2 linked regions of the Mus musculus genome follow. The protein of the gene in region 2 purifies or fractionates together with the protein of the main gene of each other region. This does not show direct contact. Links are inferred from orthologs where the notes say so. Each region holds a gene or a part of one and is shown on either strand. Other genes may lie near its edges. The genes, in order: Trib1 and Stk40.

The links.
Region 1: the proteins of Stk40 (region 2) and Trib1 purify together in Homo sapiens (affinity purification with mass spectrometry; 3 studies listed by BioGRID and IntAct, counting the BioPlex papers as one, with this or other methods). This does not show direct contact. The link is inferred for Mus musculus from reciprocal best matches to the Homo sapiens genes STK40 and TRIB1.

The regions. Positions count from the first base shown.
Region 1 is NC_000081.6:59,647,195-59,651,103, reverse strand, and holds the start of Trib1 (tribbles homolog 1), read right to left. Parts: upstream 2,451-3,909; 5' UTR 1,942-2,450; coding exon 1,582-1,941; intron 1-1,581. UniProt on the Homo sapiens protein: Adapter protein involved in protein degradation by interacting with COP1 ubiquitin ligase. The COP1-binding motif is masked by autoinhibitory interactions with the protein kinase domain.
Region 2 is NC_000070.6:126,120,831-126,124,639, reverse strand, and holds part of Stk40 (serine/threonine-protein kinase 40), read right to left. Parts: intron 925-3,809; coding exon of another isoform or gene 917-924; coding exon 805-916; intron 1-804. UniProt on the Homo sapiens protein: May be a negative regulator of NF-kappa-B and p53-mediated gene transcription.

The sequences.
Region 1 (3,909 bases), on a different chromosome or scaffold from region 2:
GCATCCCTAAGAGTGAAAAATCAACAGCTAAACATGCATGCATCTCCTGCGAACCCAGGAGGCTCAGCAGAGCACAGTCAAAGAATGTGGTGACTTTGCAGCCTCCACGGGAAGCTGAGGCAGCAAACACGCAGAGCTGTCATTAGTCAGAAGGAACTGATGACTTGGAAGGAGAGACTGACAAAGCGGCCTTATGCAGCCTGCCTATGGCTGAGACTCAGGTGGAAGCAGCCTGTAGTTACCTTCTTACAGGAGAGGATAGGCACCTCTATAGGTCTTCTCTTTTTTCCTGTTTGTTTCCTCGACCCCCATCCACCCTGGTTGGCCCCCCTCCCCAGAACGGGTAGCAAATCCTCTAAGAAGCTGGCTGGTCTCTTTAAGGGCCTTTTGTTCAGCCCGGTTACTCATATCCTAGACGCAACTGGAAATGGTGACACACGGGCTGTCACCATCTGGATTCGGCTATTATCTGCTCAGAGGAACTGGAAGGGGTTGCACAATGACCCAGACCAACCCCACCTCTGAGGTGGCTGCTCTAGTACCAACTTGGGAAAAAAATATATATCTGCTGCCTTCTCCTCCCGCCCCATCCGTTTCTCTCCCAAAACTGTTCTCATCCACCAAGAAGAAAGAGTTTCTCTCTGTGCTTGACCACGCATCAGAGATTTCACGAGAGTGGACAGTAGGTGGCAGCAGCAAACGGAGAGGTGGGGCGCTCACGTTGGGGGGGGGGGGGGGCGGAGGGGGGCTTTCAGGTGAGTTGTTGGAAACCCAGATGCCACTTTTAACTGCAGGAGAATGAAAGGAGTCAGTGGGGCTCTCAATGGCCCAGAGATGGGGTGTCCGGCTCACGAAGAGCACACTGCGAAGCAGTCCTGGGCTACGCGCTCTCCCAGACCGGCCATCCTGTATCTAGTTGTACTCCTGTTAATGTTGCAATGAAAATCGCCGGCTCAAACTAAAGCAAGTGGAAGCGAGCCTCTGGAAGTTTTCCAATACTCCGATGCTGGCCAGAAGCCTTCCCACGCTTAAGACCACCCCATCCCAACACTTCCTGGGGTGGGCTGTATGCTGGTCCCAACAGGAGTTCAAGCCCAGAAACCCCTAGGTAAAAAGAAGCCCGACTTGGTCTATACAGAACCCATGCCGCGAGCCTCGCGCAAAGAGCTTGCCAGTTGCTCCAAGTCCCGAGGAGGCACACACTGCAGGGCGTCCTTCCAGGACAGGGGGAGGAGGGGGATGAGAGCAGGGCAATGGCATGGCCCTGGAACCCATTGCAATTCCAAACTTAAATGGAACGCCACGCGCTAGCAATACAGAGCGCCAAAGAAAAGAACAGAGATAAAAGAACTGAACCCTGCACTTCCTCTAGACCGCCTAACCCTCACCAAAAAACACTCCACAGGAAAGCACTCAACCTCCAAAAACACGAAGCTGACCAAAATACCCTCCTTATCCAACTAAACGCCCTTATCTGCTCTGCCAAACCCAAGCGCTGGCGGGACTGTGATCCCGGTGGGCCGGAACCTAGGCACTTCTGTGGACGATCCAGACCCGCAACCTCCGCCCCAGGATGCTTACCTTGCAGCGCAGCTCGCGGCCGGTGTGGATGCACAGTGCCCGGGACACATGCTCGCGCTCAGCTAGGGGTAGCAGCAGGTAGTCGGCGATTCGGCTGGGCCCGGGTGAGCTCACACAGCTGCCGCCGGTCCCCTGCGTGGAGGGCGGAGGCTGAGGGCTGCAGGGCGAGCCAGGGGGACTGAGGTAGTCGGGGGGACTCGAGCACTCAGAGAGGCGCGGACACTTGGCCGCCACTGCCCCCGCGTCGTCCGTGTCCAGCAGGCGTTTGGCCGGGGTTCCCCGGGCAGCCGGAAACAGTAGACCCGGACCGCGGGGCTGCGAGGCGCCGCTCAGGGCAAAACGCACGGGACCGACCCGCATCGCGGCCCTGGCCGGAGCGGCCCCGGCTTTGTAAATCCCTGGATCTGCGCTGTGACTTCTTCCAGTCGGCGGGATGGAGTTTGCAGATAGAGCTTGGATCGGTCCCCAAGAGGAGCCGTTCCAGGACGCTGGCGTTGTCCACCAGAACCACGTTGGCCACGCGTCCAAGGGTGGGAGGCCGGCTAAGGTCTCCAGACCCCCACAGGCACCAGGTCTGGGCGCCTCGTTGGCGGTGGCCGCCGCTATTGTTGCCGAGGCTGTGGATAGTCCGGGACGTGGAGACGGCCCGAGTTCCCGGGTGTTGAGCCTCGAGGACAGGATTCCACAGGCTCCTCGGCTTCTCCGAGCAAACGCACTTCCCAAAGCAATTAGTCTGGCGTAAAAGCCGGTACAACTTTTCCGCGCCGCTCGGAATCCTGCGCGCTCCTGGGCTCCAGGCGTGTGAGCGAGCGAGACGCGCTCCAGGAGAGAGAGAGAGAGTGACCGACTATGAGTGTGTGTGCCGCACTGATCCCGGCCAGTGCACTCCTTCTCCTTTTCCTCCACCTCCTCCGCCTCCCGGTGACTCACGCTGTATACACACACACACTCACAGCCCGGGCTGTGTAAACAGTTGGGAAGCCGGGTTGTGCAATGAGGTGGCTGCGACGACTCCGGCCCCGTCGCCCGGCTTGCAGTCACCGGAGCGGAGGGAGGAGACTAGGGGGGAGGGGAGGTGGAGTTGGAGGCTGGAACTGTAAGGGGTGGCTGGAGGCCTGGGGATGCTCCTGACCGCGCGCGCCGAGGCGCAGGTGGGAACGTCCTGGGACGCCTTGGGCGCGCGCACACGCCCCCCGGGTTGGGCTGGGCAGCAGGCTGCGCGCGCCCCACCGCAGGCCCGCGGGCCCGTAGCCCAGGGAGGGGGCGGAGGCAAAGCTCCCGTGACGTCAGGTTCCCGGGGAAGTGGGCGGGAGGGGCGGGGCAGCAGGGGCGAAACGACCGCTGATTGGTGCGCGCGCATCATTCACACAACACAATGGAGCACCGAGCTCCCGGCGGCCGCGCGCGCACCTCCTGGCTGCGCACCGGCAGCTGGCTGAGACCCAGTGGTCACGCCTTTATCCTAGTGGGTCCCCCCCTCCCCGCCGTTCTGCACTTTGGGGAGCTCCCGGTGGAGCTGTGGGCGCCGTCGAGTCGCGGCTGCAGCCGGAGGAAGGGGCGAGAGGAAAGGTGATGAATTCCATTATCAGTCATTCACCCCCACGCGGTAGTTCCGGGGAAGACCTGTGCGTGGTAGTGAATGTGGCTTTTTTTTTCTTCCCCTCTTTTCCTGCCCCCTCCCAACTCTAATCCCCAGCGTCTGTTCGCTTCCACAAATAGAACCTTCTGTTGGATGAAATAAAAGCAAACACTGGGCCTTCTGCTCTGCCTCCACCTCCACGCCCCTCCCGCGCCTGCCGCCCGCCCGGATTGCACGGAAATAGCCTCTCCAAGCTCCTGGGCCGCCCCTTCGCGGTGACTCGCCGAAAGAGCTTCCTGAGCTCCGGCCGGTGGGAAACAAAGGATGTGGGGAACTGGCGGAAGGGGCCCACGTGGCTGGCGCCAGATTCCTGTCCCCTCCCGCCTGCAATGCGCGCCCGAGGGTCTAGGGCGCCAGTGCGGCCAGGAGTATTGGATACTGGGGTACGGGTCATTCTATTCACTGCCAGGGATACCATCTGCACGCGGACAAGGTCGCATGTATACTTTCATATAGTTTGAGTTGTGTGCTCTTGAAACTGGCTGACCTTGCTCCCTGGAAACAGCTTGCAGTCACATTTTGTGTTGCTGGGTTTTGTTTGGTCCCCCCCCCCCCCACTTCTTTCGCAAACCAGGTCAGTTTGGAGTCTCTGGATCCTCACTTAGCATAGATGCCTATTATCAAAATCCTTTCTTGCAATTATGCTGAATAATTAATTTTCTAAAACCAGGTCAAACCCAAGAATAAAT
Region 2 (3,809 bases):
CTGCTAGTAGCAGGCACCATTACGAGCTATTTTCTGGGTGTCTGAAGTTGGAACTAGGCTGTGCCTCTAAACAAAGGCTGCCCTAAAACAAAAGTCCTACTAAGGCCCTGGTGCCAGAGCCCATACTATCTGCAGCTTTGGCCATCAACAGCCTGGACTGGCTGGGCCTCAGATACCATCAAGAATACCCTGCTGCTCTTAGGCCTCCTAGAAACATTCAATCCAACCAATTTCTATACTATTCTATAAGAAGCCCAGGGTACGAGGTCAGCCTGGTCTATAGAGTGAGTTCCAGGACAGCCAGGGCTATACAGAGAAACCCTGTCTCAAAAAACAAAAAACAAACAAACAAACAAAAAGTCCAGGGTATGCCTCTAATCCTAGCACTTGGGAGGTAGAGGCAGAGGCAGGCAGAACTCTGTGACTTCAAGGCCAGCCTGGTCAACATAGATCCTGTCTTAAAATACCCTTCTCTAAAACGAAATAAATACAGGAGGCTCAGGGAAATACTATACAAAAACACTGAAATCAGTCATTTCATTCGAGAAAGTCAAATAGTGCCTTACATGGCGAGTCATGTGTTCTAATGTAGCCATGTGCTTCTGTGAGCTTGTCCATGTTCTGAGGTTCATATTCTCAGGGAAGGGAAGTCAGAATCTGGCTCTTATAAAGCTGGTGTACTGACAAAAAATTGACAACTTTTGCCATGGAGTGACCACAGCCCTGGTGGGCACCTCACTCTGTTGTGTGTAGGTCAGAGACTTGGCTGCTGTTCCCTGGCCACAATCCAAGGCTAGAGCTTACCCAGGACGAACGGTCCTGCTCTCTTTGCGTTATTTCCAGCAATGCCAGTTCCTAGAGCCTTGGCGTTGGCGGACGTCTCCCCAGCTCCTCTGTCTGATGCTCTCCGCTTCATTCTCAGTTCTAAACAAGACAGAAAAGAACCTTTCTGTTGAGTAAATCAACAGTGTTCCTGACTCGAGCCCAGACTAACTTATGGATACATCACATGGCTGCTGCAGCCACCACCTCCCCACCAGAAGGAGCAGCCAAGGCTCCCGAAGACAAAAGAATCACAACTCCTTGACTTGAGAGTCACCACACACCAACAGCAGATGTCCTTGAAGGCAGTAGACACAGTTGGTTGCCAAGGAAGGGAGGGGAGGGGAATCTGCTGAAAGGTGTCAGAGGGAGGCAACGGACTCTGTGTGGGTGCTGAAGAAGAACCTCTACAAAAACAGGGTAGGCAATCCATCCCCAGCCCTGAGTAGCTGTTCTCAAAGTGGCCCCCACCCCCAATACTCAGACTGTGAGGAGGAGGTGCTTCCTCCTAGGCCATCTCCAAGAAGTGATGGGCTGTGGACCCTGGGAAGTGGCCCCTTAGACATGATGCTTAGGACTTCCTTCCTGCCCATGGAGTCTGAGGAGCACTGGCCTGAGGTTTGCTATGCAGCCAACGATGACCTTGAATTTGTTTTATTATTATTATTTTATTTATTTTTGTTTTGTTTTGTTTTGTTTTGTTTTTCGAGACAGGGTTTCTCTGTATAGTCCTGGCTGTCCTGGAATTCACTTTGTAGACCAGGCTGGCCTCGAACTCAGAAATTTGCCTGCCTCTGTCTCCCAAGTGCTGGGATTAAAGGCGTGCGCCACTACCGCCCGGCTTGTTTATTATTTTTAAAAGATTTATTTATTAATTATATATAAATACACTATAGCTATCTTCAGACACACCAGAAGAGGGCATGCAATCTCATTACAGATGGTTGTGAGCCACCATGTGGTTGCTAGGAATTGAACTCAGGACCTCTGGAAGAGCAGTCAGTGCTCTTAACTGCTGAGCCATCTCTCAAACTCAAATTTGTTTATTTTTAATTAAAAATAAACCATTTGAAAGTATTGAATGCGAAATAATGTTTTTTTAAAATGAATACTTTTTGTTTTTTCTACTTGTTTGTTTGTTTATGTGCACTGATGTTTTGCCTGCGTGTATGTCTATGTGAGGGTGTCAGACCTTGGAAATATAGACAGTTGTGAGCTGCCGTGTGGGTGCTAGGACTTAAGTCCAGGTCCTCTGAAGTGTAGTCAGACTGCTGAGCCATCTCTCTAGACCTCTTCTTTGTTTTTTTAATACAGGATTTCTCTGTGTAGTCACGGCTGTCCTGGAACTTGTTCTATTGATCAGGCTGGCCTTGAACTCAGAGATCCACCTGCTTTTTCCTCTCAAGTGCTGGGATTACAGGTATGTACCACCATTGCCTGGCTTAATGAATATAAATTTTTAAATAGTATGGGTATTTTGCCTGCGTGTCTGGTACCTGTGGAGGCTGGAAGAGGGCACTGGATCCCTGGAACTACAGCTTAGTTGTGGGCCACTATGTGGTATTGAGAACTGAGTCAGTAGCAAGTGCTCTCACCCACTGAGCAATCTCTCTAGTTCCAAGATACTATTTCTTGAATGAATGGAGGGAGGGAGGGAGGGAGGTTAGGAAGGAAGAAAGGAAGGAAGGAAGGAAGGAAGGAAGGAAGGAAGGAAGGAAGGAAGGAAGGAAGGAGGAAATGATGGATGGATAGACAGACTGGGGTGATAAGAAGGGAGAGAGGGCCACTGTCTGCCCGTCAGTGGGGCTGTGACGTTCCTGAAGATCCATTCCCTCTAAGCTTCAGAACAAGCAAATACAGGGAGCCGGGGTTTGGAGCAGTCTTACGACAGAAACACATCTTATTCTCCAAGTCCAGCCTCTGGGGGAGACAGAGCCCTGGCGGAGGAGGAAGACACAGCTCACAAAGGTGCCCCAGTACAAGCTGAAGCTCAGAGAAAAGTTAACAGGGGTGGGCAGAGAAAGCAGCATGACCTGGGAGAGCCCAGGAGAGTAAATGTTGCTGAGTCGGAGGTGAGACAGAAGCCAGGCGAGACGTCCAGCAACATGCAATGTTAGGACTGTAGCCGTGGCCATTACCCAAGGGGCTGGCTCAGAGACAAGGAGCTTCAACTTCTCTTGTAATTTCATTTTCATATAGAAATAATTTTTTTTTCCTGAGACAGGGTTCCTCTGTACCAACACTTAAAAGAGGGCCAACACAGACACCAAGGAACCTAACCTCACCACCTAGACAGCTGCTCTCCAGTCAGGCTTCTGTGTCTCATAGGTTTTCACTCTCATAAGAAGTAATATAAATCACTGTAGAAATATGGACCACACTCTGATGCCATTTTGCAAGTTTCCCTTTTCCTTAGGTAGAAGTTTATGGTATGTGAAGTATATCCTATTAAAATTGTAAAAACAAGTAAGCAAGCAAACAACCCAAGGCTTGGTGCACACCTTTAATCCCAGAACTTGGGAGGCAGAGGCAAGTGGACTAAGCTGAGTTCAGCCTGGTCTATAGAAGTGAGTTCCAGGACAGCCAGACCTCATCTCGAAAAACCGAACAAACAAAAATAACAACAAAAACAAACAAACCAAAACCAGGGGCTGGGATGGAGCGGCGTGGCACAGCACTGCCTTGTGTGTCCGAGGCCATGTGTCCGTCCTCACCATGGCAAATGTCAAATACAGTGGCACAGGATACAAGCGCCTTTCGCTCTCCTCCTGGAGCATCCCAGAAGGCACATGTTGTTCCTCCACTTTATGGGCAGCCCCTCCTCTTTAAAATTTAAACCCCAGGGCAGGCAACCTGCAAACACAGCAGCTATGCAGGGAAAGGAAATAGAAAAGAGAAGGAAATACCATGCTATTTCAACCCAAATAGATGTCAACCAGCAGCAAGCAGTCACCTGGTGGGGGAGGGGGACTTAAGAGAAAGAGTAA